4 linked regions of the Astyanax mexicanus genome follow. The protein of the gene in region 4 purifies or fractionates together with the protein of the main gene of each other region. This does not show direct contact. Links are inferred from orthologs where the notes say so. Each region holds a gene or a part of one and is shown on either strand. Other genes may lie near its edges.

Region 1 (8,242 bases), on a different chromosome or scaffold from region 4:
AAAAAAAATCATTAATTTATATCGCCAAGTGTACCGTTATCGCAATGACCATGAAATATCGTGATATTATTTTAGGGCCATATCGCCCACCCCTAGTCTCAGCTGCCTCTTCCACAAGGTGTACTGATTTAAACACACATTAACAACTAGGCAACACATTTTATATCCATTATGTTGACTAATTATTGACATAATTGCCATTCAAACATAGGAATTTTCTCACTACAGGACAAAAGGAGTAAAATGTTTTATTATAGACACATTATTTTTCACATTATAGACTTTACCCAGTAATTCAGAGCTAAGAAACAAATGGTTAGAATTAGTCTATGGAGGAAAAACACCACCAGCCAAGTAAAATAGAGATAGGTAGGTGTTTAGATGTTTAAAGCAGTTGGATTTTTACTCTCTGGAGCTGGACTATCCACCTCTGTGAGTAACTATAGGTTTAAATAGGATCTCCGGTGGATTTGGTGTTTTACAGAGACTCTAAGACTAGGTCAGTGTCTGAACTGCACTAAGCAGGGCATTATTACACATGTTGTAAAGTAACATATGACATTGCAAAGACTGTTATTAGTGTAAAAATGTCTTAATTTTAAAACGTCTCGTCTCTAAAATCTTCCGAAACAACTTAAACAAAATAACGAGTAAATTAGTTTTAAGTATTAATCTATTTGCAAATATAACACATCTACATATAACATAAGAGCTCATCAGTCACGTCACAGTGAGTCGGTATGAGAGCAGTAAAGGATACTGTTTCATCACTTCTTTATAGTTGACCGTGTCTCTGATATCTGCAGATAAAACACAAAACAGTATTAATTATTAAATCTCTTTATATTTAAATTTAACACTTAAAACATTTAAAACAGACTGGAGATGCTGATGAAACTGAACACTGACTGGGGGCGGAGCTTCCAGGAGGAATCTGGAACCGAGCTTTATGGGATCTGAAGTTTTTACACTAAATGTAAACTTACTGCTCGTACAAAGCACTAGAGTACTAAAGCACTTAGAAGGGGTGATATTATACAGCTCTGTAAAAAATGAAGATTCCACTTCAGTTTCTGAATGAGTTTATCTGATTTTGCTATTTATAGGTTTATGTTTGAGTAAAATGAACATTGTTGTTTTATTCTATAAACTACAGACAACATTTCTCCCAAATTACAAATAAAAATATTCTCATTTAGAGCATTTATTTACAGAAAATGAGAAATGACTGAAATAACAAAAAAGATGCAGAACTTTCAGACCTCAAATAATGCAAAGAAAACAAGTTCATATTCACAAAGTTTTAAGAGTTCAGAAATAATCAATATTTGGTGGAATAATCCTGGTTGGTTTTTAATCACAGTTTGTTTCATGCATCTTGGCATCATGTTCTCCTCCACCAGTCTTACACACTGCTTTTGGATAACTTTATGCTGCTTTACTCCTGGTGCAAAAATTCAAGCAGTTCAGTTTGGTGGTTTGATGGTTTGTGATCATCCATCTTCCTCTTGATTATATTCCAGAGGTTTTCAATTTGGTAAAATCAAAGAAACTCATCATTTTTAAAGGGCTCTCTTTTTTTACAGGGCTGTATACTAATGTATTGCAACATTTTGTTTTGTAATACTGTATCAATTTTCAAAAACAATAGTATTGATTAGTTTAGTATTAGCTTAGATGTAAAGATTGGTGTCAGAAGTGGTTCAATAAGTTTTGCGTATAAGCTCCGCCCACTAGATAGCAGTGTTATATTCTTTCATTAGATCCAACTGTTCTGATTGGATAAAAATTTTACTTTTACCGATGTTGGCTGGAAACGGGACTTCGTGGACGGCAGGGTCGAGGTTAATAACGTACGGAGGAGAATTCTTAGAGTGGAGAAAAGCAGTGAGACGCTGTAAAATAAAAACAGAAGATAAAGAAATTATTAATATTATTATTATTATTATTATTATTATATTATATATTATACCATGCATAGGCCTGTCAAAATAATTATTGCTGTGTGGACAATATATTAATAAATATATACATAAATAATTGCGATAAACAATATTATTGTCATTTTACATCCATTTTATGCCACTAATATAATGCTATTTTAATTCTGATGAGTATTCAGACATTCAGACTGACATTAAACATTTTTTTTTATATAAGCCCCTCATAAAAAAGTCATAAATAAAATGAAATCACAGTTTTGTAAGTTTTTAAGACTTTCTGGCAATTCACATGAATGTGCTTTTCTCAATCAGATTTTTTTTTTTGTTACACTATTATAATTTTCTACAATTTTCTTGGTAAATGTACTGTTTCCAAAATAAACAAAAGTTTACAGATTTATTTTATTTCTACTAAATGAAAAAAAAACGGTAATATTTATATGAACTAAAAATATTTGTATTTATTTTGTTGCACTTATTATTGCAATTATTATTATTTTTTAAATCAAAGTTTTGTCAAATCACCAAGAATATTATTATGATAAAAAAAACTGAAATAACGTGACAATATTTAAGCGCCACCTCTATTCTGTAAATAAAATATTAAAATAAAAAGTTCATAATATTTATAATAAGACAATATATATTTTTTTATTGTTTTAACAGGCCTTGAACTAAACTCCAATATAAAACCAATACCTATCCAAAACCTCTGTTTATAAAATATCTATATTTATAGTTTTATTTAAATCTGGAAAAGTCTGCAATGACTATTTTATACTTTAAATTAGAACTTAATAAAGTAAAAAACTTGTGTGATATGTGATTTCACATATTTTGATCCAGTGTTTAAATGTTAAATAAAGTAAATAAAGAAGATAATAATAATATTAAAACACATTAATATAAAAACAGATAACATTCGGGTGTTTACATAGTTCTGAACATGTATTTAATGATTAATGTGTGTGTAATAATTAAGCTGAAGTAAATGTACAGCACTCTGTGTAAAGTTTAGAGAAGCTAAAACTGATCTATATTTTCTATTTTTGATTATTTTTAAAGCTAAACTTGGATTCTTTTCGAATTGTCCGTTCCACCTTAAATAGAGCAGTAGCAATAGAAAAACACCTTCAGGCGCCAGAATGGAACTATGGAACATTTAAGGTGGACCGGAGGAGATAGCCCTCGTGTATCTGTACCTGTACAAACGTGGTTTTCCCGGATCCAGCCATTCCCAGAACGATGAGACAGACGGGCTTCTCCCGCGGGCCGCTCTCCCCGCCCGCCCCGGCCTCCTGCTCCCCCGCGGCGGGTCTATCCTGCGGGTTTTCTCCCGGAGCTCCGTCCCCGGTAATAGAACCACCGGCAGCCGCCATGCTGTACACTACCGCAGCGCCGCGGACCACGTGACTACAGCTTTCCGCTCAGTACCGCTACTGTCCGCTAGATGGAGACAAAACCACACTTTATAAACCCGCCATAGTAAATAAATAGTAAAGTGATCAATCAGATTATAAAGAAATACATAAATAATTCATTTAGTAACTTAAAAACAGTGTTAAACAAACCTAAAACTCTTTTAACTTGTGGTTTCTGGGGCTGGTAACTTTGATAAACTTATCCTGTACATCAGAGGAAACTCTCGCTCTTCCTTGTTTTCCTGATGAGAGCCAGTTTCATCATTAATAACGTTTTGATGGTCTTTTTTGTGGTATCTGCACTTGAGGATACTTTCAAAGTTCTTGAAATTCTTCTTTTTTTAATTGACTGAACTTCATTTCCAATTTCTTAAAGTTTTTTTTCTTTACGTAGTTGAGTAGTTGTTTCTTCTCATAATCTGGATTCGAACATTACTCAAATATTCACTATTCACTGTATACCTGTAACTCTACCTCTTCACTACTTTACTTTAACTGATGCTCTCAAACACTTTATTAAGAGACAAGAAATTCAAGTAATTAACTCTTGATGAGTTCAGCACAGCTGTTAACTAAAAGACTGAATTCCAGGAGACTCTACCTCATAAAACTGACTGAGAAAATCCAGCAGAAATGTTCAAAACTCATCATCTAAACAAGAGGAGATACTTTATATATGTATATATATATATATATATACAATGTATATACAATTTAAACAAAATAAAAGCCTTTAAATAAAATCTTACTTTTAATGCATTATTTGGATAAAATATATAGGAAAAGAATTGGAAAAAGTTCTCGACAAAATATTTACAGACAAATTATGATCAGACTGTACCTGAGGTGGGAAAATGTATTTACGGAAAGGCTTAACTAATAAACTAAAAATCAGACAAAAATCAGTATTTGTAATAAAATGATTAAATGTGACCACAGGCAGGCGCTGCTGCATCAAAAGTGAATAGAAAAAATAAAAACAAAGTTAAAAACGGTGTGGCTGAATAACGTGTTATTTTTACAATAAGCAGGAACTCATTTTCAGTGATGAGTCCAGCTGCGGATACTGGAACTGCTTGATAGCTGCTGTGAAGCTGGAGACGATGAAACCGAAACTTTATGTGAAGCTCTGCTGCTCTTTATACAGCATGAATATCAGTTTAGGAGCGTAAACTGTTAAAAGCACTGTCTGATATAGATCACATTAAAACAATGACACAATAGCATATACAGACACTTTTACCTGCATGTATTTTTATACCTCTGCATAAGTTTTGCTATGGAATTCATGCACTCTAGTTTTTTAGTTCTAATTTTAGAATATTTGCAGGTAACTGACGTTATTTTAAGATGTTATTTTATACATTCTTTCTGATTCTCAGCTTCGTCATATTAATAAATAAGAACTCTGAATGTGTAACAGCAGTAGATGGGTCTGTGTAAAAGCCTCTGAGAGGAAGTGAGGCGAGAGGGAAAGCCGGGGTAATTCCAGTGTTTAGAATAGTCCACATAATTCTGGTAAATCAGCTCTGAGTGATGATGTTTCCTCAGCAGGTCCAGCTGCTTCCGTACAGGAGCTCCCAGAGCTTTGGTTCCCAGAACCAAACCTCGCCAACATCTACTGAACACTAATATACAGTCATTAAAGCAGCCGTCCTTTAGAGTTTTTTAGGTGTGCAAGGCTTGTTTTGATGCTAATTGCTATCTTACCCCCCACCAACAGTCTATTTTCATTTGAATATCAGCAGAGCTTCTGAATATATCTACACTGATGGGCGTGGTGTTCTGGAAATGAGGTGTGTTCAGGTACATTTCTGGAGTTTTATCTTGTTTATCTTGGTAACAGAAAACACAGGAGCTCCACTGACTGAATACAACCTAGACAGACGCCAACAGTCAGACGTTCATCGCTATCTCGGTAACACAGGCACTGTGCCGAGCCGAGCGTACGCCCCCACTTATTACACACACATGAACACACAGCAGCACAAACCCAACTTTTACATCAACAATAAACAGAATAGTAAATAAAATAACATTGCTGTTCCCGTAAATGAGCTGCTGGAGCTCCTTCACAGCGTCAACCAGCAGCTCAGTTTCCTCTGCTGAGAAGAGTTTGTTGAACACGTCCAGGTAGCTGCACCGTTACAATAGCAATCCACCAAAGACAGAGCTCACCTGACTCTACTCTTAAAGAGAATGATGAGCAAACAGATAACACTCTGATTGGTTTATTTATTTCACGTTACGCCCAAGGTGTACTTTTCCCGTTGTTACGATAGCAAAGACACACTTGACTGCTTGCATAAACATTGCTAACAAAGAGCCCATTGAGTATTTTTGGGGAGAGGGTCAGCAACATGCTAATTGGTTGTTATTGGCTTGTTTCTAATAAAGTGGCCAGTGAAAATACAGCATTGGAAAACACATAATTAAGTCTATAGACTTTCTTGGGAAAGTATCAAATGATTTAGACAGAAGTTAGCACTATGCTAATTGGTTGTTATTGACTTGTTAGCTGCATTAGCTTCGTAGCTAAATAAAAAACAAAAATCACATCCCGTTTAAAACTGATTTAATTTAACTTTAGAGAGAAAGCTGAACTCATTTCCAGCAGTGTGGGGTTTTAATATCTCCTGCATGTTTTTTATGTGTTTCTGTTTATAGAAGCGCAGCGTCTGCAGAACGTTCTCCAGGATGATGAGTGTTTTACAGGGAGGACGTTCTGCACCGGGGTCACTGTCCCTCATACAGATACTGCAGATAGGGAAGGAAAAGGATGAGCCCGGAGTGGAAAAACAGATTTCACATAACCCCTGTTATCTGCTGTACACTCCCCGGCCACTTTATCAGAAACCCCTCCCTCCCTGCTGTACAGTTACAGGACTACAGTGTGTGTTAGCTGTTCTTTATTCTTTACTCAGAGATCAGTTACTTTACATTATTATATTCATGTTTATTCACTGTATAATTATTTATTCACCACTGTGCACTATTTACCATCTACTATACACATTATACTCATTACCTATTAGGATTTATTCAGTATCCACTATGAATTGCTCAGTAACCACTATTAATTACTCAATACTTACTATGAATTACTCATAATCCACTTGGAATTACTCAGTACCCACTATGAATTACTTTGTATCCACCATTAACTATTCAGTGGGCACTATGAAGTCTCAGTATCCATTATGAATCACTCAGTATCCACAACAAATTAGCCAGTACAAACTATGAATTACTCCGTATCTAGTATGAATTACTCAGTACCCACTATGAATTACTCAGTACCCACTATGAATTACTTTGTATCCACCATTAACTATTCAGTGGGCACTATAAAGTCTCAGTATCCATTATGAATCACTCAGTATCCACTACAAATTAGCCAGTACAAACTATGAATTACTCAGTATCTAGTATGAATTACTCAGTACCCACTATGAATTACTCAGTACCCACTATGAATTACTTTGTATCGACCATTAACTATTCAGTGGGCACTATGAAGTCTCAGTATCCATTATGAATCACTCAGTATCCACTACAAATTAGCCAGTACAAACTATGAATTACTCAGTATCTACTATGAATTACTCAGTACCCACTATGAATTACTCAGTATCTACTATGAATTACTCAGTATCCACTTTAAATGACTCAGTATACACTATGAATTATTAGTGCCCACTATTAATTAGTCAGTATAAACTTTGAATTACTCAGTACTCACTATAAATTAGTCAGTATCCAAAAGCAATAACTCAGTATCCACTCTGAACTATCTACTACATACTATGAACTATTCAGTAACCACAGTTTAATATGTACTGTAAATTACCCAGCATCCACTATGAATTGTTCAGCACCCACTGTAAATTATTCAGTATGTACTGTGAGTTATTATTTATCATCCACTAGGAATAGTTCAGGATCTAGAATTAAATATTCAGTGTCTACTATCAATGATTTAGTCACAAACTAAATATAATTCTGTATCCACTCTGAATTATTTAATATGTGCAGTGGTGCTCAGTGCTGGTGTTTAAAGGGTTAATAGTGAAGATATAAAGAGGTGTTGGAGGAGAAACAGAGCTGCACTGTGTTCTGTATGATCATGTGGCCACACTTTATCACATCATTTTACCTTGTGAATCTAATTTACTATAAAATCATTAAATGAAACACTCAGATCAATAATCTCTTTGTAGTGAAGAGCAGGGTCATCATCTCTCTGAACATGTGATACATCTTATACATACTGGATACACAGGAGACACACTGACGCAATATACGACCTCTTTAACCCCTCCACACACACACACACACACACACACACTGTAACATACACACACACATACACACACACACACACACACTGTAACATACACACACACACACACACACACACACACTGTAACATACACACACACATACATAGTATAACACACACACACACACACACACACACACACACACATACTATACCACAAACACACAGACACACACTGTAACATACACACACACACACACACACACACACACACACACACACATACTATACCACAAACACACAGACACACACTGTAATACACACACACACACACACACACACACACACACACTGTAACATACACACACACATACATAGTATAACACACACACACACACACACACACACTGTAACATACACATACACATACATAGTATAACACACACACACACACACACACACACACACACACTGTAACATACACACACACACACACACACACACACTGTAACATACACACACACACACATACACACACACACACTGTAACATACACACACACACACATACACACATACACAAATACTATACTACAA
Region 2 (8,131 bases), on a different chromosome or scaffold from region 4:
GTATTGCTTTCCATGACGTTACTGAACAATAATCCGTAAGCTCAGGATTTCAGGTTGCATGCACTGCATGTACAGCATTTTTACAATGTAAAAAAAAACAAGATTTACATTATTTCAATTGTAGTTCAAAACTGAAGAAGATAAAAGTTTTTTGCATAAGAGATAATATATAAATATACTCATTTTAATGTCACATTTTGATGTTATGTAAATATAACATATGTAATTTTGCAAATCTGTAAGGGGTCAAAAAAACCCGTTACACAGGATGTTATAAACATGTAATAAAGCAAATAAAGTGTTTATTTGTTCTTACCTTGTAGGAAACTTGATGCACTGGATTCTGAACAGTCCAGCTGATGTGTGTGTATGAAGGTGTGATGTCTGTGTATATGTGTGTATTCTGTGTGTGCTCCTCCTCAGCCTTTTCTAATCTGTCCTAAGACTGAGCTCTTAGTTTTCCTAATCTAATCTCCACCCGTCTCACCGTTTCATAACCTCGCATGTGTGTGTGGTCATTCTGGACGGACCATTAGAGTGACCATCCTTTTCTGTAATTACCACTGCAGTGGATAGGACTCTATACAGTGCAGGACAGTATAGAGATAAATATAGATCTTACAATTATACTATACAGTGGTGAGAAAAAGTGTTTGCCGCCTTCATAATTTCTTATATTTTTTCATGTTTGTCACTCTTAAATGTTTTTCATTATTAAACAGATTGAAATATTGCTCTAAGACAACACATGTAAACAAAAAATGCTATTTTTAAATGAAGGTTTTTATTAATAAGGGAGGAAAATAATCCAAACCTACATGGCCCTGTGTGGAAAAAGTGTTAAAACTTAACTTAACAATGGGTTTTCACACACGAGTTCAATTTCTCTAGCCACACCCAGAACTGATTACTGTCACACCTGTTCTCAATCAAAAAATCACTTAAACAGGAGCTGCCTGACAAAGCAAAGTAGACCAAAAGATGCTCAAAAGCAAGATATCATGCCAATATACAAATAAATTCAGAGGAAAACAAAGGATAAAGAAAAGTAATTAAAATCTATCAGACTGGAAAAGGTTATAAAGCTATTTCTTTAGCTCTAAAATTTTGGGACTCCAGTGAACTACAGTGAGAGCCATTATCCATTATCCAAATGGCGAAAACATTGGGGAAACAGTGATGACCTTTCCAGGAGTGACTCGTCGAACAAAATTACCCCAAGAGCACAGCGCTGACTCATCCAAGAGGTCACAAAAGACCACACAACAACATTCAAAGAACTGCAAGCCTCAGTTGCCTCAGTTAATGTCAATGTTCAAGACAAAAAAACAATGCTGCGCAAATAGACCATTAAAGCTTGTCTCAATTTTACCAGAATAGAGAAGTCACCGTGTCTAATGCAGGGCATCGACAAGAGGAGTGTAGAGCCCCTTAGCACTGAGCTGTGGATCAGTCAAACTGTGTTCTCTAAAATGCTGAGATGAAGAGTTGGGAATGAGGTGGAGGTGGTGCTGAACATCCTGAAACAGAAAGAAGACCACAAGGTCCTTAAGAAACCTTTTTAGGGTTCTTTCATTCTATGAAACTGTGGAGGAACCCATTAAGGTGCCTTGAGAAACTCTTAAAAATGCATAAGGTGATGTAAGGAACATTTTCTTATAACAAACCTTTTTAAAAGCTACCCCAAAGCACATCACAGGGCTCCATAAAATAAAAAGTGAAATAAGAAAATAAATAAGGAAAGTAAGAGGTCAACAGACAGAGTGGAAGAGAGAAATAAATGACAGAAAGACACAGATGACCTATTGTCCGGTGTCCTTTCACAGTGAGAGTGAAGTGAGGGATGAAGGGAGGATGAAAGCGAGCCAGTGGTTGGGACTGGGGGGGCTCAGTCAGGTTTAATGAGGGTAATTAGAGAGAGAGCAATGGATGCTCAGATCAGGGTAATCATTCGAACAGACTGCAGGTGATTAATTGGAGGCAGTTCAGATAGAGCGCAGTGATGGACTCTCATTATGGGGGCACATATCAGTGGATAGAATGCATTAGGGACAGAGAGAGAGAGAGCGAGAGAGAGAGAGAAAGAGAGATGTTGTGGACATAGCATCCTCAGGTTTTTCTGCAAACTGACACTCATTCTGGCTGAACTCACCTGGAACAGAGACAACACAGGTAAGTTTAACTTTTTTTTACTGCATTTATCATATTAAAAACTGTATTTATATATTTAAAGTATGCATTCTTTAACTTTACAGGCCTGGGATTAAGCCTGCTTGACAACTATGCTATTTCTTCCATTAATTACATTTTTGCTCCTGGACCAGGAACAAAAACCCAATTTTCCAAACTGTCATTTTCCAATTTATAGCAATACATACAATTAAAAATTATACACAAAAACAGAATTGTATGATTTTTTAACACATGCTTGTTGATAAAAACTGAGTGAAAGATTTAAATAATATCATAATAATAATCTGACAAATAACTAAAATACCGTTTGTTGTATCTGTGACATTTTATACCAAATAATTACAGAGGAAGTTGGAGAGACAGTCAATAATATGGAAGCTAGGAGTCAATTTGTACATATTCTGTGTATAAATTGTGCCTAACATTTACACCAAGCAATAGTAATAGTGAGGAATTAAAAAACTGATTCAGTGATGATTAAGTGTAAAGATTTTTCTCCTTACATTTTGTAAATAATATATAATAAGTTCACCAACGTAAAACTGAGATACAGCACGATGGCCAAGGTCATACAGCAGTTTTTGAGGAAGGATTCCAGGATGCAGTGTAATGCACCTCTAGAATGAGCCGTAAAGCGATATACTAATAAATACTGTGGCATTAGTTGGAGTGTGTGTGTGTGTGTGTGTGTTCCTGTTGGAGGATGCCGAGCCCCTCTCTGCTGCTGCTGGTGTTCTGCGCCACCTCTCTGCTGCCCCCCTGTGGCGGGTTCGGGACCCGCAGGCTGTGTGGTATTCAGCTGGTGGAGGCCCTGCTGTTCGTGTGTGGAGAGAAAGGCGTCTTCTATCAGCCCGGGAGGCGCATCAGACAGGAGAACCTTCGTAAGCGTTTATATGTGTGTGCGTGCGTGCGCGTGAGATTTGTATGGAGTTAATTTTGTGCCAAAATTAAAATTGCAAAGGAAGCAAACGAGAGCTTCCAGAAGCAGAAGGCTTTAGCAGCAAAATCAAAAAAATTAATACAAAAAAAAAAAAAAAGAAAGCAAAATCCAAACGCAAATAATTTCGAGTAAATGCAAAGGATAATAATAAAGTAACCAATAATATTTAAAAATATATATGAATGACATCCTTTTGATTCTTACAATTTTTATTGCAGATTTTTTGTTTTTGTTTTAAAGCTTTCGGCACAAAATTGTGTTAATTTTAATGGTATTGGTCTCTAATATCGCCTGCACAGATCTCCACATCTAGGATGGGGCCTACAGGCTATGTTTAAAAATAATTAGACATTCGTATCAGTTATGTGGTAACAAAGCACACTGCTGAGTGTAACCTACAGTAAAATTGACTGTAATGTGGCTAAAAACAATCAACTGTAATGCCATCCCTGGAAGAGTACAGACTCTTAATGCAGAAAAAGATAATAAACAAACTCCCTATTAATGGGCAATTAATTTGAATGGGTAAATTCCTTTTATACTGTCGTAGACTGAAAGAAAGATTCTGCCTGTCTCTCCCCAGGTGTGATGATGAAGGATGGTGTTCTCTTCCCACTGGAGATCAGTGAGGTTCTGCAGAAATCTGGATCCAGAATGAAGAAAAGGGGTATCGTAGAGCAGTGCTGCCATTTTTACTGTGACTACTATGACCTGGAGAACTACTGCAACACCTAGAGTCACCAGTATTTGTGCAAACGCAGCCTGAACGGACAATGATGCAAGATGCTTGGATCACTGACCAGTAGTTCAAGTACACAAATGAATGTTATTCATAAACTGCTCAATGTCACTGAACAGCAGAAACCAAAATGTAACAAATAACACAATAAAATCATTCTGATAATTTAAGGGTCATCACTTATTTGTTTCTGTATATTTTTTTAACATGATTTTTAGCTAATAAAGAACAAGGAGGTAAAAGAAAACCAAAGGCCTGTGCAGGCGACATAAATGTTTAGAAGGCAATAAAACCTTTTAGTATCTGGGTTAATATTTTTATTAAATAATGTGCCTTTTGTTTTACACAGTATAGTTGTTTAAATTTCAGACAGGCACTGTGTAACTATACATGTTTCAGTTTTACTAAATGAAAACATAAGTGAAAAAAAGTTAATAAAATTCACTTTAAAGTTCTTTTTGAACATTTTATATATTTTTCTTTGATGTGATCCACAGTGCTGCCTGAATATGTTGAACATTAAATTCTTAAATACCAAAATAAGTGTATTATTATTATTATTATTATTTTTTATTATTATTATTTATTACTGGTATATTCTGTTGTACACAGTTTTAGGTGAATTAGCTGCTAAGATAAACAGTTCTGTGTGTGTGATATACAACAAAATATGTATTTATTTAACATTGTATAACATACAATTTTTTAATCATTTAACTGTTTTTGAAAGCTGATTTTTTTACAATATACTAATATAAAAATATACGCATACACACGTTTTTTTAAATTATGAAATGTTTAATAAAAAATAATAAGTAAAACACTGCATTTTGCAAAAATCCCAATTTTTGGGGGTGCTGTAAAACTTTTTCCCGGTAGTGTATATTTATATATAAATATACATAAGTAACTAAAAATAAATACGTAAATCAAAACTACATCAAAAAAAAAACGTCAGAAAACTACATTTCCCAACAGCCCGCACCGGCTGGTTTCACAGTGAAGGAAATAAAATGGCGGACTAGGATGGGATGGGCCTCTTATTGTGTTCTTAATAGAAAAAAATGTTTCAGGCTTTTATATCGCCTTTAAGAGGCCGCTGAGGATCCTTTAAGGAGCTTTAGGAGATCAGGAATTTGGATTTTACTTTACCGGCCCGTTTCTGATCCCAGAAGGTGAGTAATTTGTTGTGTCGGGGGTAGACTGGATGTTGCTAGCCCAGCTAGGCTCGCTGCTAACCGAGTATATAACTGGAGGCGAGCGGTGGAGCGGCTACAGGCGCTGCAGCTCCGCTGGGTAAAGCGGGGGAGCAGTGCGGTACTCTAATTATTAGGCGAGGCGGGTTTGTGTTGGCTGTCTGGACACAGCGTCCTGTTTGCTGTAGAAATATTCAGGTATAGTTGTTTTTTTAGTGGTGGTTTAACGTAGGTTATAATAACACGGTTTGGTAGCTAGCTTAGCTTAGCACGGTTAGCCAGCGGGTTCGCAGCAGTAGCGGAGGATATTCCGCTTGTTAGCCGGGGTTAGCTACAGTCTGGACAGCTGGCCTGTACTTGTATCCTCCTTTAACAACAAGCTAGTTAGGTTAGCTTTCTAACTGCTGTGCTTGAGGTTTAGACTTGTGGAGTAGCTAGAAAGTAGTTAGAACCAGGGGTAACCCAGGTCCAGAAAGTAAAAATCCATCCCAGCTGAGTCGCCCAGGCAGCAAAGTCAGCTAAGGTTTGTGTTGTTACCCCTACTCAAGCTCCAGTAGTGCCTTAAATAGGTAACTTAAGTAGTTCCATTAGTAAATGTTAAGAGGAACTGTTTATGGTAGACACCAAAAAGAACACAAAATATAATTTCCAGTGGAGAATTCCAGCTGACCTTATTTACCTTAGATTAAGCTAGCTGTTGTTCCCTGACCTAACACTCAACTTGGGAAAGGGGTCTCTTTAAGCCCTGAAAATAAAAACATACATCTCTGAGAAAAATGAGACTACTTAACATGATGAGTTTCTTTTATTTTACTAAATTGAAAACCTCTGGAATAACACAAGTCATCAAACCAAGCTGAACTGCTTGAATTTCTGCACCAGGAGTGGCAAAAAGCAGCTCATAAGACTGGTGGAGGAGAGAAATGCATTGAATCTGAGATTAAAAACATCAAATATTAATTTCTGAACTCTTAAAACTTTATGGATATTAACTCGTTTTCTTTGCAATATTTGAGATCTGAAAGCTCTGCATCGTTCTTGTTATTTCAGCCATTTCTCATTTTCTGCAAATAAGTGCTTTTACATGACAATATTTTTATTTGGAATTTGGAAGAAATGTCGTCCGTAGTTATTAAATAAAACAACAATGTTCGTTTTACTCAAACATATATCTATAAATAGCTAAATCAAGAGAAACTAATTCAGAAATTGAAGTGGTCTCTTATTATTTTTTTTTTTCAAGAGCTGTATTTATCTTGCTTCACATCTCAATCTTCTGTGGCAGAATCCTAAGATTTAACCTACACCTACGTGATTTCTCTCACTTTTCCTAAACTTGTCTCTGGTGAGGGATATGGACTTTTATTCCGCTGTCTTTAGATGGGCACAGAGAAAGAGTTTGATTAAAGTAAATCAGGCCTCCTCCAAACTAAGTATAGTTAGTAGTTTATTTCACAGCTAAGGGGCCTTAACATCTGGGACAGAGACAGAATAGATAGATACAAAATGTGTGTTTCTGTGTGTGTGGTTTGTCAAGGAAGTCAAGTCACTCCATAGTTATGGCCGGTGAGATTCATGCAGGTTCCTTTGTTTACTCTCTCGCATCACAGCTTAAAGAACATTCAGATGAAGTGGAAGAAGAAGAGGAGGAGTCTGAAGAAGCCAGAAGGACGACTGGCCTAAGGTGTTGCCAAGGAAACAGAGCGACCACAGATGATGAGCCGAGAGAACTGGTAAATGTAAAATGGCCAAGAAATCAATCTGTCAAAGGATGGGTGATCTCTGTTCCTCCTCCTGCTTAATGTGGACCATCTGCCTGTAGTTTAGTGAGGATTGGAGATAGCCCTGAATTGACCCCATGGCATTGTTTGTGTGTTGTGTTGCGCAGGAGGCTTCTGCTGCTACTTCCTGTGACACTACATTCCTTATGCCTCAGCAGTGCACGGAATTTCATTTTACCGACAGGTAGGTTTCAGCAGCATGAGAAAAGTTGTGTGGTTAAAGGAGAACTCTGTTGTGAAATTAACTTTGGGTGTAGTAAAACATGATAGAAAACTAACCTTTGTTGAATTGCCCACCTCTTTCTCATGCAGCTTTCATAAATTCAGCAATTTTAGTCCAGTTGTCCAAACACCCTTTAGGCTAGGGGGTATGGGGCATATTCTTGCCCCTGCAGATACATCGCTTTTTACACCGTTATCCAGAGCACATAATGTTGCAGGCACATCTTCATCTTCTCATCTGTTATGCTTCTGTCAACATTACGTGCTTGTGACCCTACTGATCATGACTCCCTTAAGATGGCAGAGCCCAGAGATGTAGGTTATGCTACAGGTTGTAAACAGGGTTTTTTAATAAACTTCTCATGCACTTTTTAAGTTCTTAATACCTCGTTTTAAATATCAGGGCTTTCTGGATTCTACCAATAAGGTGTGGAACTATTTGAGCCTGGATAACGGTGAAAAAACGCAATGTATCTGCAGGGGCAAGAATATGCCTCGTATCACCCAGTCTTAATGGTGTTCGGACAAATAAAATAAAATTGCTGGATTTCAGAAAGCTGTGGGCTATTCAACAAAGATTAGTACTCTTTATCATGTCTTACTACACCCAAAGTCAATTTTACACCAGAGTTCTCCTTTATGATATGGTCAATCTGCAGCATTTACATTTACATTTCCATGTGGCTTGTTCATCCTGTATGCTGGTGTATAAACTAGGGGTGTGCCATATCGTATCTTCTGCAATAATATCGCCAAAATCTTTTTCATGTTGTTAACAATACTATACCCTAAAATATTGTGCCATATCACCCAACCTTAAATATCACATCAGGGTCAGACATTATCATATCTGTTCTTAGCAAAAACAATTCACACTGTTCTCATTTCACATTTATATATTTACTAGAGATGGATATATGGAGATATTTGGAGTGCATTATTAGACTTTCTTAATCATTGACCTCTGTTACAATCTAATAAATTTCTTGTATTTTTTTAATGTCTCAGTTAGGGGTGTGCCATAAGATATAATTTGCAATAATAACATTTAAATTTCTTT
Region 3 (7,706 bases), on a different chromosome or scaffold from region 4:
ATCATAACTTCTCTGTTCACAAAGACTTGTTTCTATTGAAATCTGCACCATTTGCACAGCTAGCACCATAGCAGTGGTACCAGTCGGATAAACTGTACACATATTGCTATTAGCAGCGTGTTAATTTTTATATAGCAAACAGTAGTATCCACGTTAGGTTTGGTAATGGGGATTCAACACCAGGATAGCTCACAGGCCATTTTCCTGGCATGAGTATTGGTTGGTTTCAGTGGATACTGTTGTGAGGGGGTCAGATACTTGCTTGTAGTCCAGTAAATGTTAGGAACTTCAGTGTTCCAGCTTTGGTTTGGGTAAAGATTCTGTATTCAGTGTTGTTAAATGAAAGGTGAATGATATGCAAGTATTTTTTAAAGCAGTCGTGTAAGTGTGTTTTTAATTGTTTTAAATAATTTTGCCAATGCAGAAAAAAGCTAAATTAAATAGTGCAGAACTGCATTTTTTAAGATTCTGTATGTATATTTCGAATACTTTTGATTGATCAGTGTTAAACTACTTATAAAAATAACAGGACAGACCAGTTATTCACTAAATTCAGGTGTTTCATTTACACCCATCGCCACAGGTGTATAAAATCAAGCATTTAGCCTTTCAGTCAGCTTTTGCAAAAATCATGAAAAAATTGGTGATTCTACAAAGTCCACTCAAAGTCAAAATCTCCCAATTTCACCATCAACTGAGAGTAAAATAATAATATAGAGGACTTTTTTTTTTTTTTTTTTTTAGAAAAACACAGCACACCGGTCACAAACCGAAAAAAAAAAAAAAAAAACTACATAAAGTTACAGAGTGATGCCAGGTGCAGAGAGTCACAGTGCATAAATTAGAGCTGCTCAATAAGGGCTGTTTTCCAAACCTGTGCACAGGGAGCTTCATGGCTGTTTTCTTGGCTGAGCAAGCCCTATGTCATTGAAATTAAGCCGAGTATTATATATTTATATAGTAATACTATATTTTCCTTTCAATGGAAAATCTTCATCCAAATTGCAGTGATGAAAACAGCTCCACAGTGTCAGATGGAGTAAAAAACAAGTTTTGTGTAGTGATAAATTAAGATTTTTTTTATCTGGCAGGCTATGGATGAATCTGGGGTTGACTGTGCTGTTCCAACTGTTCCAATGTTTGGTGGAAGAATGGAGAGCTATGGGGTTGTTTTTAGGAATTCAAGTAAGGACTGGGAGGTTAATAAAATTAACCTGATTAATCAAATTACTGTTTGCACTGTGTATAATATAAAAGCTACATTTACTGTTGAAGGGGGCTGCTTACTATTTATAATAATAATAATAATAATAATAATAATAATAATAATAATATATATATATATATATATGTGTGTGTGTGTGTGTATGTGTGTGCGTGTGTGTGTGTATATATATATATATATAGATAGATAGATAGATAGATAGATAGATAGATAGATAGATAGGTAGATAGATAGGTAGATAGATAGGTAGATAGATAAACTTAATGCTTCAGCATTTTAAGATATTTTGGACAACTATTTGCTTTCATCTTTGTGGAAAAAGTTGGGAAAGGTCCTTTTCTGTTCCGGCATGACTGTACCCCTGTGCACACATATTTAGTGGCTGGTCATTTGTTTTTGTTTCTTCCTTTGCATAGTATTGTACAAACATTATGTCTTTATGGGACAGTTTAGCTTGTGCTACATGACACAGTGGTAAATGTATACCCTTAAAAGTGTAACATATGATTAACCATCACTATAAAATGTTACATGTTAATTGTGCAACACATACTAGTTTCTAGTATATTTCAACCCACTCTATCAAACATAAATTAACAATTTGTTCAATGTGTAATTATAATTGTGTTTTAATAATTTTTATTTAGCAACACTTTAAAAGTGGATTTTAGCTGTAGGCATTTGCTTAAGGACTGTTGCAGCACCATGACAAAAGACAATGGAAGTTGACTGCAGGTGGGATTTTATTAAAAGTCTGGTTATTACGAACATAAAGGACAATTTCCGAGTTCTTATCTCTAAAATATATTAAAGCATGAGCACATGAAGGGCGATGGGAATAAGAAACACAAACAACAGCAGCTAACAAGCAACAATAATATCAGAACACAAAGGTTTTCCACTGAGAAGAGTTATACAATAATAACCACCATCATTATAATCATCATCATTAGCACCACCCCCATTAGAATTTAAAAAATAAGCCAGGTTCATGTAGTTAGGTTATTTTCTTTCATTGACCTTCAGTGTCAGAGGTTTACAGATGTAGAGCCCACAGCCAGCTACATTAACTACAATATACAACAACATGTGGTTAACAATAATAAAAGCATATCAAAATAGCTAACTATAGCTGGTATATATGTGTGGAAAAACTGAAGGAAATTTAACTGTTTTCCTGAGATATGACCGATATCCGAACTTTCATAACAGTGTACAGCACGGTTACTTAACGCTAGCTAGTTACGTTACCTAACGCTAGCAGGCTAGGCTAAGCTAGGCTAGCTAGTTTAGCTAGGCTAGTTAGCGGGGTTTGAGAGGCAGTAACAGGGTATATAAACAGCGGTACGCGCTGCTGTATGATAATGCTGTGTAAGAGCATTAAACTCCGAGGCTTTAAGAATTACTTACTGTTTTATACGACAGCACCCTCTTCCCGAGGACACGGTAGGCAGCTAGCGCCGCGGCCATGTTGCTAATGTGTTAATGACAGGTCTGAGTGCTGCCCTTCCTCTGCTGCTGGAGTTACTGCGGGAGTGTCAACCGACTGAAGAGCTGAACCGCCACCCACTGTACTGGAGCCAGAGCTCAGCCTGACGCAGTTTTAAATCATACAACAGCAGCGCTGTCTCTGAACTGCGACACGACTGACTTTCACCACTATTTAACTGTAAAATATTATAAGTTTATTAAACGGTCGACACACTTACTCAGTGTTTACTGTAACACATCGGAAAAACAGAGCACACCAACAGCAGCAGAGAGAGGAAAGCCTTTCTTATTTTATGTAGGTTATTTAATGCGTTGTTTCTTAGATTCTCTGGAGTAGCCTTGACATCCTTAACCTCAAGTCCACTGACTGCTCATTTTTCTTGAAGAAGAGTGATACATTATGTTATGAAAAGAAAGATAGTATGTCTTACGACAGTTCTTATATTTTCTTTTTCTAAATGAGAAGTTAAATAAAAAAAATGCTGTATATAGTATAAATACACAGGGCACAGTGTGTATAATAATTTTGAGTGTATAATAAAGTTGAGAGTTTAATATAAAACATTATTACATTATTTTTAATTGTGACTGGGGATATATTTTTTTTTTGTTTATCTATACATAGTAGATAAACTGAGCATTTTAAAACGTGTGTATTTGATTGGCTGCCCTGCTGTGTAAACATTAGCATTATTGGTTCATTATTAGCATTACATACTTACTATATATATCATTCAGATTTTTTTAAATCATCTGAGGTTTAGTTTTAGTTAAGGGTTTTTCTGTGTTCAGAATCGTACAAATATATTCTCAGTAACAAAATAAAAGAACTGATATATAAAATCTTGCATATATGCTACCCAGTTAATGTTATTTTGTTTGTTTTTCTTTTTTTCAATTGAACACTTTTTATTTTTGGATTGTTCTTTTTTTAGACTTGAAAGAAGCTCATCTTCCACCTCCCATCCTCACCATGCTCTATAGTGGGGCTGTAGGAAGCATCCTGAGCACCTGCATTACCGTCTGGTTTTTGGAACTGCAACATCTCGAATTGCAAGACCCCACAGCAGAAAGTGAGGACAGCTGAGAAGATATTCAGAGTCTCTCTCCCCTCCATCACCAACATCTACACCACACAGTGCAACTGCAAAGCCACCAGCATTGCGGACGACCCCACCCATCCCTCACACGGACTCTTCGCTCTGATGCCTTCCAGCAGAAGATACAGGAACATCCGAGCCTCCAATATTAGACTCTGCAACAGCTTCTTTCATCAGACCATCAGACCCCTCAACACACAGATACAGAGCTGACCCCCCCCCCCATCACCACACAACTGAACTGAACCCTCCCCTTAGCACACAGAGACTGAGATGTCTCTATCCCTATCAGCAATATTTGCTTCATTCTATAGAAGTATAACTCTCTACCTCAGTAACTGCTGTGAACATGTTTGTTTTATATGTTAAAGTATGTTAAATATCCCTACACCTTTTTATCACTATACACATTTCATTGTACCGTAACTGCACTGTCCTGTCTGTTCAATTGTTCAATCACTTTTGCACTTTATGTTTGCATTGTTGTCCAATGTTGAACTGTGTTGGTTCCAGAGGACACTGGTCACTGTGTAATCAGATGTAATGATAATAAAAGACTCTTGACTATATATTGGATATTTTGATAACCCTTTATTTTACCACAAGGACGGCTTTATAGTAGATTTTATAATAATTGTAGGTAATTTTTTATATGCACAAAACGAAATTCGCAAAACAGATACCCTTATTCCATATAACATTTGTTTATTCTGTGTTTTGGATTGTCTGTTGTGAAAAGAAATTCACTCTCCAGTTCAGAGGAGGCAGTGCTGCACCTTAAACTGGTTAACGGCAGAATGAGGCAGTAGAAGAAGAAACCGGAAACTGAATCTGGTCAACTTTCGCTGTGTTTCCTGTTTACGGGCGGGAAGGGAGAACAGACCTGAATCTGTGTTCTGGCTGCATAGTCTGGTTTAGTCTGTATATTCACAGGTTTAGCCTGATTTCTGCGGTTTAAAGCAGCCTGTGTATCGGGGGGAGATCGGTGCAGGGCGCTAGAGAAGCATGGAGGAGCCCGCGGACTCTGGTGGAGGCAGTGGAGCGCTGCTGAGTGAGATCCGCTGGCCCGCGGGAGAGCGCTGCATGCGGCTGCTGGAGTGGAAGGTGAAGCCCGGAGCTCTGGTTAATGTGGACTCTGTTATCGCAGTATGTGGAGCTTCAGCCGCGGACAAGAAGTCCGGAGCGCAGGAGCGGGACCGGCCGAACAAACCGACCGTCCCCGAGAAGAAGCTGAAGTCGGACCGAGCCGGAGTTGTGAGAGAACTTTGCTGTCAGCTCGGGCAGGACCTATCCGCCGGGTAAGCTGCTGATTAAAGAGCAGAGAGGCGCTGTAACACATTAACATCACTACATTCACCCAGATCAGATCAGTTCATCACCACAGTCAGAGTCACTTATAGTTACAGCAGGTTACTGTCTGCATGTGGTAATTTGGGCACATGAGCTGCTAACAGCAACTTGAGCTTAAGAAGAGCTTTTCAAAATAAAAGTCCTGAGGGCACCTGTTACACAAGGGGCTAATATTTGCCAACAGTTTAAGAAGATTAAATAAAAATAAAACTTATACAGCATGAAGGTACAAACATTGCTAACTTCTGCCTTGCTCCAAAACACATTGTTTTCATAATTAGGTAAACAATTTTACCCGGCGCATGAAAATGAACTAACTAAGTTACAGCACTAACACTAAAAAAGTAGGATTGAGGCTATGATGGTAATGCAGTGGATACAGCGATAGGTAAAATAATGGTATTTCCAAATAATGACAGTATTTCAAAACTGATATGTATGTTGACAAATTTCTGCTACAGGTAATTTTGTTTACTTTATTTTATCTACAGTATTTAGCCTGCACTACACTGTTACTTTACAAAACATTAAAATAATTACCCTTATTGTTACCCTTATTGTGTTCTCTATTTATATGTGATCCACTAAGTTCCAGCCTTCAGTATGAATATACTAATACAGTTCAGTGAAAACAATTGTATATGTATATGATTTATATAAGACATTTGTTTTTATTTCATCTTTTGGTTTCACATATGTCCATAATTAGTCACAGTTTTAAACCCTGTCTTTTAAAGTAACAGGTTAAATAATTAATTTACGTATAATATACATATAGAGACCACTTAAAAATAAGTTTCTTGGATTTCACCAAGCTGAAAATAACCAAGCTGATCTGCTTGAATTTATGAATGCCATGAAGTTATCCAAAAGCAGTGTGTAAGACTGGTGGAGGAGAACATGCCAAGATGCATAAAAACTGTAATGAAAAACCAAGGTTATTCAACCAAAGTATTGATGTATTTTACACAACATCCATATGTTAAAACCAACCACATATGCAAAATCTCTAAACTACTTTGCATTTTATTATCTGGTTGTGATTCAGTCCAAAGAAGTACAACGAATGTTGCATGATCCATATGTGTTTAAATAGTTTGAGTTTTAGAGGGATGACATTCAACAGATATCAAAGTAAAAACACAACCAATGTTCTTTATCCTGTGCCGAACACTCTTGTCACTTTGGATGCAATTCCTTTAGCTTTTCAAATGTTGCTGCAGTACTGTGTTTGGGTTTGTGTGTGGTTAAGGATGTTTATTAGATCTGCAGTGTACCGATATTTACTTCACTGTACTGAGCTGAATTGTGTACCGTGTAGAGGGGTATCTGGTTTGTGGTGTTAATAGTCTTTAATTCACTTCTTTTGTAAGACACAATAGTTTTATCCATTTAACAAATATTGCAGTTTAAGTCAGATATGGTTAAGAAAACACCACACCTAGCTAAAATTACTAATGGGGCAGACACACAGCGTTCAGTGCTGTCTTAATTAGTCTCTGCAGCCTTGCATAAGCTCTGCAGTTTCATCTAGTGGTTATACAAGGTAATTGAGGAGCCCGCACAATGAGTCCCACAGAGATATGCTGTAATCTATTCTCTTGTTTATGGGACTGTGCATATCAAAGCATGACAAATACACACACACACACACACACACACCTCTACAAGTCAAGTTTGTTTTGCAAGTGGACACCCATGTACTGGGGGACCCTATCACATCTATATCCACTTAGCTTTGGTTGTGGACACACAGTGACTGTTATAAATTCTGTTGTGACCAATGAAATAGCTTATTTATAGTTGTTTGGATTTTTGATTGTTGACGCAAGAAGTAGATACACAGCACTGTCTCTGTGTCTGTGTGAGTGACGGGCCTCTGCTGCCTGAAAAGCACGAGGGGGTAAATGCACTCTGGACTCTGTGACGTCATGGGCCCTGCATTTTTTTAATATTGCGATATATATTGTAAAAAAAATAAAATAATAACATTTGCAATGTAACAGTTTTCCAATATCGTGCAGCCCTAATCTACAGCTTTTTTTCTGAGTTTCTTTAAAGAGCTCAATGGTTCTTCATACATAGCGAATTGAATTAATTGATTCGATTGAATTGAATTGAATTTTTACATTTTAAAAATAACCAAAGATATGTTCTATTTTACTCATAATTTGTAATCAAGTGATTTACAGTTTTGCACACACAACTTATGCTAGATTTTATTTTGGGCTGATTTTTTCATGTGCTACTGTTTGTTTTAGGGATGTTGTCGTGAGAATAGAAGAATGCAATCATCCTATTGTTATGAAGGGTCTGTGTGCTGAATGTGGCCAGGACTTAACACAGTGAGTAAATACACACTTTCTATAAATCTCTAAAATTAAATTCTTTATGCCAAGCAGGACTTTCTATTAATTGACATTGACGTTGCAGTTCTTTGAAACACATAGCCATTAATGCCTCCATTACTTAAAAAGCACTTTTCCTGTGAATGTGTTTTAAGGCTGCAGAATAAGAATGGAAAGCAGCAGGCTCCCATC
Region 4 (7,762 bases):
TGAGGGGCTTGGAAACAATGGCAGCACTTCTGCATTAGGTGTCGCTAGTAGAGAACTTAGACCACCATGTAATGAAAGAGCACTGGCAAACTATACAAGTGCAATTATGCCACAACAATAGCTGTAGTGTCTCCCCCCCGAGTCAGTGGGCATACTGCCGCTGCACTGGAATGGTAATAGTCACCCAGCATATACAATGTCTTTTAGAACTGGTGTGAAAACAGGAGTGAAGAGGATACGCTCACTTCCACCGCAGTAGAATGGTGTAGCAATGGTGGAATGGATTGGAGTGCTGTAAAGGCTTTCCATGGTCCTTTTTATTTTATCCACATCCTGATGTTCAATTGAATGTTTATGATATCTCAAAGCAGTGTTATATTTGACTGGGATGGAAATTTTGTGTTGGTGGTGGAAAGTATCTGTAGCTAATTAGGAACTCAGAGAGATAAGTGAATGTGAAGAATATGTATATTAATAAAATATAAATCTTTGCAAACAAGGTTCTGTCTTAAACCAAACAAATATTGTTAATGGTATCACTCAACTAACAATTCGAAGAACTTTGAGGGTGCTGTAACACTGACCTTGTTTGTTACAAAGTTTCAAACATTTCCGTTTGGCTCAAAACAATCTAGCCGGTGTAAAAGCTGTGACTCACCATGATCCGTACTGTAGTAATAAGAGTTGTTCAGATCAAATGAGGTAATCATGATTCAGACAACATGAACCATAGTCCACTTGCTAGTTTATCGTCACCCACTAAACAATAGAAGCAGAAAAAGACTTGGCGATGTGCTGAAATTCCACTGGGTGCAAACACTTTCACAGTGTGAAACTAAAAATGAACCGAACCGAATATATACAGTGTAACTCCAGTTCAGACTTTCAGATGCAAAAACACCTGAAAGTGCACAATAAAATACCCTTGTTACTGTTTTTTAGGCTGGACCTAGGGGGGTGTTGCCCCAATAATCAGTATTAGCATCAGTCTAATACTGACCAAAATCCTTAGTTCCATTACAGTAGGAAAAATATATAATCTTATATGGTCCATTTTCTTCAACTATCACAGAAGTATAAAAAACCCTAGACCCCAAGTCTACACGTGTAAAGCCTACATGCCAGTATTACAGGCTTCAGAAAGAAGTAGAATATATAATTCCAAGTTTGAACATGATGCTGTTTAGATGGCTATGTTAATAATAGCCCATTTAGTCAACTGTATTGTAAGTGTATAGCTGAGTTTAAGAGAGGAATTGAATTAAAAAAGATCATTTAAGTCAAAGAATTCCATTTAGGTAGTTGTTTATTTTGTTTACAGAATTTGAAATGCCACCTTTCTTTTATATTGTGTTGAATTTCATGAACAATGGATTTTATTAACAATGAATTTCACAAACAACAGTTGTGGTTAACATTAAATGTCATAATTTTTGTTATTTTAGTACTGCCTTATTTTTTTGTTGGGAATCATTAAAGTTTAATTGGACTGGATTAAAATTAGAGCACAACAATCAGACATTTTCACTGTTATTGAAAAACATTGAATCTCCAAAATGCATCTTTTCTAAAGAAGGAGAAAACCTTTTTAACTTTCAATAGAATTGTAATGTGAAAGATTCATTCATTCTGGGTCATTGTAAAACATTTATATTATTCCATTCATCAGGACATTTTAATACAATGTAAAGAACAACTTCCAGATTCACATTATGTCAAAAAGTAGATATAGAATTTGTATTTTGCAGGAAAGCAACAATAACTGCATCATTAAAAGCTTTGAATTAAAAGGTTTTTATCTGAGTTTTGTATTATGTTAAATGCAGGGTGGTGTCTGCAGTACACAAGGGCCATGAACTTGTGGCTGTGGAGACATCTGCATGCATTCTCTCGCTCAGCCTGTTCTGATATCAAGGTTAATGATATGAGTGCCAGCAGCTCCAGGAGAATGCGGCTGCGGAGAGAACGAGGATGTCCCCAAGGACCTTCGTCAGTTTGGACAACTCTTTTTGATGCAAACACCATGCGCCGTGCTTGGATATGTGTGGACATCTGCCCAGGCTAATCAGCATGCATGGCCTCAGTTTGGGGGTATCTGACCTGCCCGAGCAACAATGGCCAGGCAGTCTGATCTATGGCACACCGCTGCTTCTGCCTTTATACCCTCGTCAAAGAAGAGCTTTTAAAAATCGGCCTTTAAAGCTACAGAAACTGCTACAGAATCGAGATGAGCCGTTTCAGAGGGGCTGCAGAAATTAAACATGCTTCCTCCTTCTTTTCCTTCTTTCTTGGCCTCTTTCGTGCTCTGCCACATGCAATTTCTCTTTGTCATTGCCTTTCTGCACCTCCCAGTATAGATAGAGCAGTGTCTGGGGTAAAGGGCAGAGCAAGGCTGCTGAGAAGCTCTGCTTAAACACTCTTTCAGAAGAGTCTGCTGCTCTGAAATACATATGAACTTGTGGACTAAAGAAAGGCCTGGAAAATCATGAATAGCCGAAAAAAGTGTTCATATGTGTATCAATAACAAGCCAGATAAATATGGAAACCTCAGTAAAGTTGTAGAACTAGGTTGAACTAAGTTGTAGAACTAGGTAGAACTAGGCTGAATGATATATTTTTCCAGGAAGAATTGTGATAAACAATATTATTGTCATTTTAATCATGTTATGCCACTGATATTGGTTAATTATAAATAAATAAATAAACATAGCATAAGAATGCAGCTACACTCTATTATGGACCAACATTTTTTTTGATAGTTAAAAAATATTATTAAAATTATTGATTTTATATTGAATGAAAAATAAAAAAAATATTATCTTACACATAATGGGCATTACTGAGGTCAGCAAAAATATTGGGGTTACATTCAAATATTCTTAATAAAACAGTGATTGTGACTGGCCTATACAGTACTACAACTGATATGCATGTGTTTGCACATTTCATATTTTTACAATAGTTACTGCTGTATGTATTCAATTGTTTAATTCCACTTTATAATTTTACATATAGTATAAAGGGATGATCTTCTTCATCAAATTACTGTGTTACAGTGTTTCCATAACTCAACATGTTTATAGTATTTTATATATTAAACCTACCTCAACCATAGTATCTTATTATACATCTAAATAAAATAGTGAACTATAAAGGAAAGATCATATAAAAAAAAACAATTAGATGGTTAGATCATAATTGAATAATGAAATGTTTTATTCCTATGTGTGGAAAATCAATAAAATGATGTATATGGTCTAAATAAAGAAAAAATACATTTATAAAACCTCAATGCTTACATGTTTATCATGTACTGGCCCTTTAAATGAAACTCGTGTCGATCTCCACCGCCCCCTACTGGTCTAACACTGCAATAAGGGCTCAAATATTAGCAGAATAAAAAATGTACGCATAAAATAATACAAAAAATAGTGATAATAGTAATAAAAAGATTGTAATAGTATTTTTGTTTTTTTAATTTTAATTCTAATTTTTCCCATTTTTCTCCCCAATTTACACTGCCAATTACCCAACCCACTCATTAGGACTCCCCCTATCACTAGTAATGCCACAACACTCCAGGAGGGTGAAGACTAACACATGCTTCCTCCGATACATGTGAAGCCAGCCACCGCTTCTTTTCGAGCTGCTGCTGATGCAGTATTGCCGAGCAGCCAGCGCGCTTGGAGGAAAGCACAGCTGCTCGGCTCCGGTACATCAGCTCACAGACGCCCTGTGCAGCACACATTACCCTAGGAGTGATGTGGGGAGAGAGCGCCATCTACCCACCCAGAGGGAGCAGGGCCAATTGTGCTCCCTCTGACGCCGGCAGCTTGATGGGTAATAGTATTTTACATTGTAATTTAAACGAATAGCAAATGAAATTAAAAGTCGACGCTGTACTTAAGTTGTAATAAATAAATAATAATAAAAAACATAAACACAAATAAACTTTAAAAAAGAATAATGTAAAACCCAAACGTTAGATCTCAAACGTAAACTATGACTTTTCCCTTTTTTGCTCTATTTAATGAATCAATGTATTGAATTATACTGACCTCTGGTGGATATTTTATGGTAGTAATGTCGAAGGTTTTTCTTGATGTTTTGACCTAATCAATTCTTTAAAATGTGCTGACCTCTTGTGGACATTTTATGTAAAAATAAATAATAGCATTTTTTTAAAGTCAAATTTAGACAACTGGATGTGTTGCATATTTAATAAAAAAAAATCAACGAGATGGATTTAATGGATAACAGCGAAAACATTGATTACGAGAAACATTCATTGATTGGAGTATACAATATACAGTGGTAAAAAGAGCATGGGCTTTGCGCATTAAAAACACTTTATAATGCTTCTTTTTTCGTAAATTAAATAAATATCTAGAGCAATTAGTTAAACAGTATTTTAAAGAGTCTCCCTCTAGCGGTGCGCAATCATTTTCAGGTATAATGGGGAAAGTAACCTATGTAGGATGTGGGCAGGCTATTTTATAGATAAATGAACAAATGAAGTATACAATTTGTGTATTATATCATCCATGATTTAGTGTCCATTTACCTTTTTTTCACATAACCTATAATATAAATACTGTTTAGAGTTTATAAATAGCTGTTTACTCTGAGCACAGACTCTTATTTTGAAATCGGGGTACCCGGATGTGAGGCAGATGTTAGCTTTGTTCGGCGGCGCTAACGCTTTAAGCGCAGGACGTGTTCCAGTCATTCAGCGCGGTTTATTAATAATACAAGACTAAATACATCCAGATCAGAGATGTTTTACCATGTAAGTTACTGATGGGTTTATTAGGACTTTGATATAGAATTCAAATAAACCGCTAGACCATGAATTAGATTAATAGCTGTTGGACAGTGTTTATGAGTGTGTGCTGCATGAATGTAGTTGGCTAGCTAAAGCTAGGCAGTAGGGTAGCCAGGTAGTAGCTAGCTAAGTAAGTTAAAGTGTTCTGTTGTGTTTTTTTTTTTGACATCCAGTTAAGGGGAAGACTGTGTATAAGAATACTTAATTTACTGTACATTTGTGTGGCCATTTCCACCTTACTAGCTAGCGTTACCTATGTAAATTATCATTTACATACCTTGCTAAATAGCTTAGCAAGTCACTTATGATCTGGTAGTTTTAAGAATTCAACAAGTTAGCCACAGAGTAGTAAAGGCCACTTTAATAGTAAAGGGCAAATTACCTAGTCTTTTTAATGGCTGAGAATTACCTGAGTGTGTAAGATGGTATTCAGCTTTGGTAGCTAGCTAGAATATTGTTTTATGTGCAAAATAATACCCACCCTACAGGTAGCTACATAATGATCAGTTTCTCTCTTTTAACTATTTATAGGTATATGCTTACGTACAGTTAACATGTGTTTTTTTTTTATTCTGTAAACTAGTGACAACACTACTTCCGAATTCCAAATAAAATCGTCATTTAGAGCATTTATTTGCAGAAAATGAGAAATGGTCAAGATACAAAAGTGCTTTTAGAACTCAAATAATGCAAAGTAAACAAGTACATGTTCATTTTGAAACAACAATACTAATGTTTTAACTTGGGACGATTTCAGAAATCAATATTTGGCCGAATAATCTTGATTTTCATCACAGCTTTCACACATCTTGACAATATTTTCATTTGAAAATTGGGAAAAATTTTGTAAGTAGTTTAAAGCAACTGTTAATTTTACTCAAACATACCTATAGCCTAAATAGTAAAATCAGAGAATCATGACTGATAATTTTGAAGTGGTTTCTTCATTTCTGACCATATCTGTATATATTATATATTTTATTTTATTGTAGATTTCTCTGGAACATGAAATCCTTCTTCATCCTCGATACTTCGGTCCAAACCTCTTGAACACAGTCAAACAGAAGCTCTTCACAGAGGTGGAAGGCACATGTACAGGAAAGTAAGTCCCACTGCAGAGCTTTGCACCACATTTAATATAATATTTAAAATGTCTACGCTATTAAGCTGACATTCTTCGGTTTGTTTCTTGTTTCTCTAAGGTATGGGTTTGTCATCGCAGTGACCACAATTGATAACATAGGGGCAGGTGTTATACAGCCAGGACGAGGGTTTGTGCTGTACCCTGTCAAATACAAGGCCATCGTATTCCGGCCCTTCAAAGGGGAAGTGGTGGATGCTGTTGTCACTCAGGTTAACAAGGTACGGATTCAGCATGTCTCCCAGTCATGATTTTTTTTCTCACTAAGTGTTTACACTTGTGTGAGTTTGTTTTCTTTTCATTTTGTGCTATATTGTATAGTTTCGTAAGTGTTTTAATTGTTTAGAATTATTTGCCTTCTCTTTACAGGTTGGATTGTTTACAGAAATCGGGCCAATGTCTTGTTTTATTTCACGCCATGTAAGTTGATCCATATTACCATCAATATAATTTGTCACACAGACATTATACTCAGTATAAAGACTAGATGTTGTTTATTTAGATAGTTATATAGATACTTTTTTTAGTAAAGTATATCTGCATCTAATTTTGAAAGCGGTGTGGATTTCATTGCTGAGTACAGCTTACATAAAAAGCTAACACACTTTTGATCCTTTGTTGTTTAGTCTATACCCTCAGAAATGGAATTTGACCCAAACTCTAATCCCCCCTGCTACAAGACAGTGGATGAGGTAAGGTGATAGGTGATTTTTTGTTTGTTTTAATACACTGTAATCAATGATTTTGTTACAACAGTTGAATTATTTATGTCTTTGCCTCCTTAGGATATTGTTATCCAACAAGATGATGAAATCCGATTGAAGATTGTGGGTACTCGAGTGGACAAGAACGATATTGTAAGTGTATGGTTACGTGTGGATTGTTGTGTAACATATGCATTTCATGGCACACCATAGTTGTATTAAAACACAGCAAAAACTCTGCTTTCTTATGATGTGTCCAATTATCATATTTTTACTGTATTACCATTTTTTCCTAGTTTGCCATTGGCTCCCTCATGGATGATTACCTGGGTAAGTGTTCTGTAACTACACCAGAGGGGCTTATACAGAACAACTATAAGTTCTTTCTGTTTAAATTATAATACAATAAAAATAGAAGAAACTGTAGTGATACTATTACGTTGCATTATTTGAAGACAGAACATCATCTACTAAAAAATAACAAATTGTTTTGTTTTTGTTTCTGAAACGTTTTGTTGTTTTCTTTACAGGTCTTGTGAGCTGAATGATCTCTGAAATAATCCAGAGGACTTTTACATTCTCGGACATTTTTTTGTACATAGTTCAATATACAGTGTAGAATCTAGAATACAAATGTTCCTGTGATTTATTTTTTCCCCACAGTAGTCTATGCTAAATTGTACTTTTTTGTTTATTAATTTGCTCATGAGAGTTATAAGAGTATTCCTTCCCTGTGTATTTGCTTTGGCCATATTTTACACAATTGGTATCTCCAATGTTACACAGAAATGAATGTTCAATTTATGTGCGTTTTTTAATCATTGGTAGTGTCTATATAATGTCACACAAAAAAAAAATCTGATCAAACCAGATTAAGAACTTTGTGTCCCAGCCAAAGACATTAAACCAGTTTGATCCAGCCAGCTTTACTCAGAATTACCAGGGAAAACTGTATATATTTTTTTTTTATAAAAAGAAAATCTCAAGAAAAAGTAATGTGTTTGGTATTTTTTTGTGTATTTCACTGTGTGTGTGTGTGTGTGTCCTCTTCCTCTTTCATACTTAAGTGCCAATGTGGCCAATCATGAATCT

The links.
Region 1: the proteins of polr2g (region 4) and gpn1 purify together in Homo sapiens (affinity purification with mass spectrometry; 4 studies listed by BioGRID and IntAct, counting the BioPlex papers as one, with this or other methods). This does not show direct contact. The link is inferred for Astyanax mexicanus from reciprocal best matches to the Homo sapiens genes POLR2G and GPN1.
Region 2: the proteins of polr2g (region 4) and scaf1 purify together in Homo sapiens (affinity purification with mass spectrometry; 3 studies listed by BioGRID and IntAct, counting the BioPlex papers as one, with this or other methods). This does not show direct contact. The link is inferred for Astyanax mexicanus from reciprocal best matches to the Homo sapiens genes POLR2G and SCAF1.
Region 3: the proteins of polr2g (region 4) and ctdp1 purify together in Homo sapiens (affinity purification with mass spectrometry; 4 studies listed by BioGRID and IntAct, counting the BioPlex papers as one, with this or other methods). This does not show direct contact. The link is inferred for Astyanax mexicanus from reciprocal best matches to the Homo sapiens genes POLR2G and CTDP1.

The regions. Positions count from the first base shown.
Region 1 is NC_064421.1:730,238-738,479, reverse strand, and holds the start of gpn1 (GPN-loop GTPase 1), read right to left. Parts: upstream 3,357-8,242; 5' UTR 3,323-3,356; coding exon 3,146-3,322; intron 1,896-3,145; coding exon 1,802-1,895; intron 801-1,801; coding exon 761-800; intron 1-760. UniProt on the Homo sapiens protein: Small GTPase required for proper nuclear import of RNA polymerase II (RNAPII). May act at an RNAP assembly step prior to nuclear import.
Region 2 is NC_064426.1:20,093,187-20,101,317, reverse strand, and holds the start of scaf1 (splicing factor, arginine/serine-rich 19), read left to right. Parts: upstream 1-4,865; 5' UTR 4,866-5,047; intron 5,048-5,155; exon of another isoform or gene 5,156-5,266; intron 5,267-6,678; 5' UTR 6,679-6,801; intron 6,802-6,956; 5' UTR 6,957-6,995; coding exon 6,996-7,033; intron 7,034-8,131. Other genes in the region: insulin, read left to right, coding at 2,897-3,074, 3,717-3,868.
Region 3 is NC_064410.1:21,965,293-21,972,998, reverse strand, and holds the start of ctdp1 (RNA polymerase II subunit A C-terminal domain phosphatase), read left to right. Parts: upstream 1-4,650; 5' UTR 4,651-4,821; coding exon 4,822-5,114; intron 5,115-7,427; coding exon 7,428-7,511; intron 7,512-7,669; coding exon 7,670-7,706. Other genes in the region: sdha (succinate dehydrogenase [ubiquinone] flavoprotein subunit, mitochondrial), read right to left, coding at 2,636-2,695. UniProt on the Homo sapiens protein: Processively dephosphorylates 'Ser-2' and 'Ser-5' of the heptad repeats YSPTSPS in the C-terminal domain of the largest RNA polymerase II subunit. This promotes the activity of RNA polymerase II.
Region 4 is NC_064417.1:39,776,744-39,784,505, forward strand, and holds polr2g (DNA-directed RNA polymerase II subunit RPB7), read left to right. Parts: upstream 1-4,640; 5' UTR 4,641-4,777; coding exon 4,778-4,789; intron 4,790-5,817; coding exon 5,818-5,927; intron 5,928-6,027; coding exon 6,028-6,187; intron 6,188-6,335; coding exon 6,336-6,386; intron 6,387-6,592; coding exon 6,593-6,658; intron 6,659-6,751; coding exon 6,752-6,823; intron 6,824-6,966; coding exon 6,967-7,000; intron 7,001-7,200; coding exon 7,201-7,214; 3' UTR 7,215-7,662; downstream 7,663-7,762. UniProt on the Homo sapiens protein: Core component of RNA polymerase II (Pol II), a DNA-dependent RNA polymerase which synthesizes mRNA precursors and many functional non-coding RNAs using the four ribonucleoside triphosphates as substrates.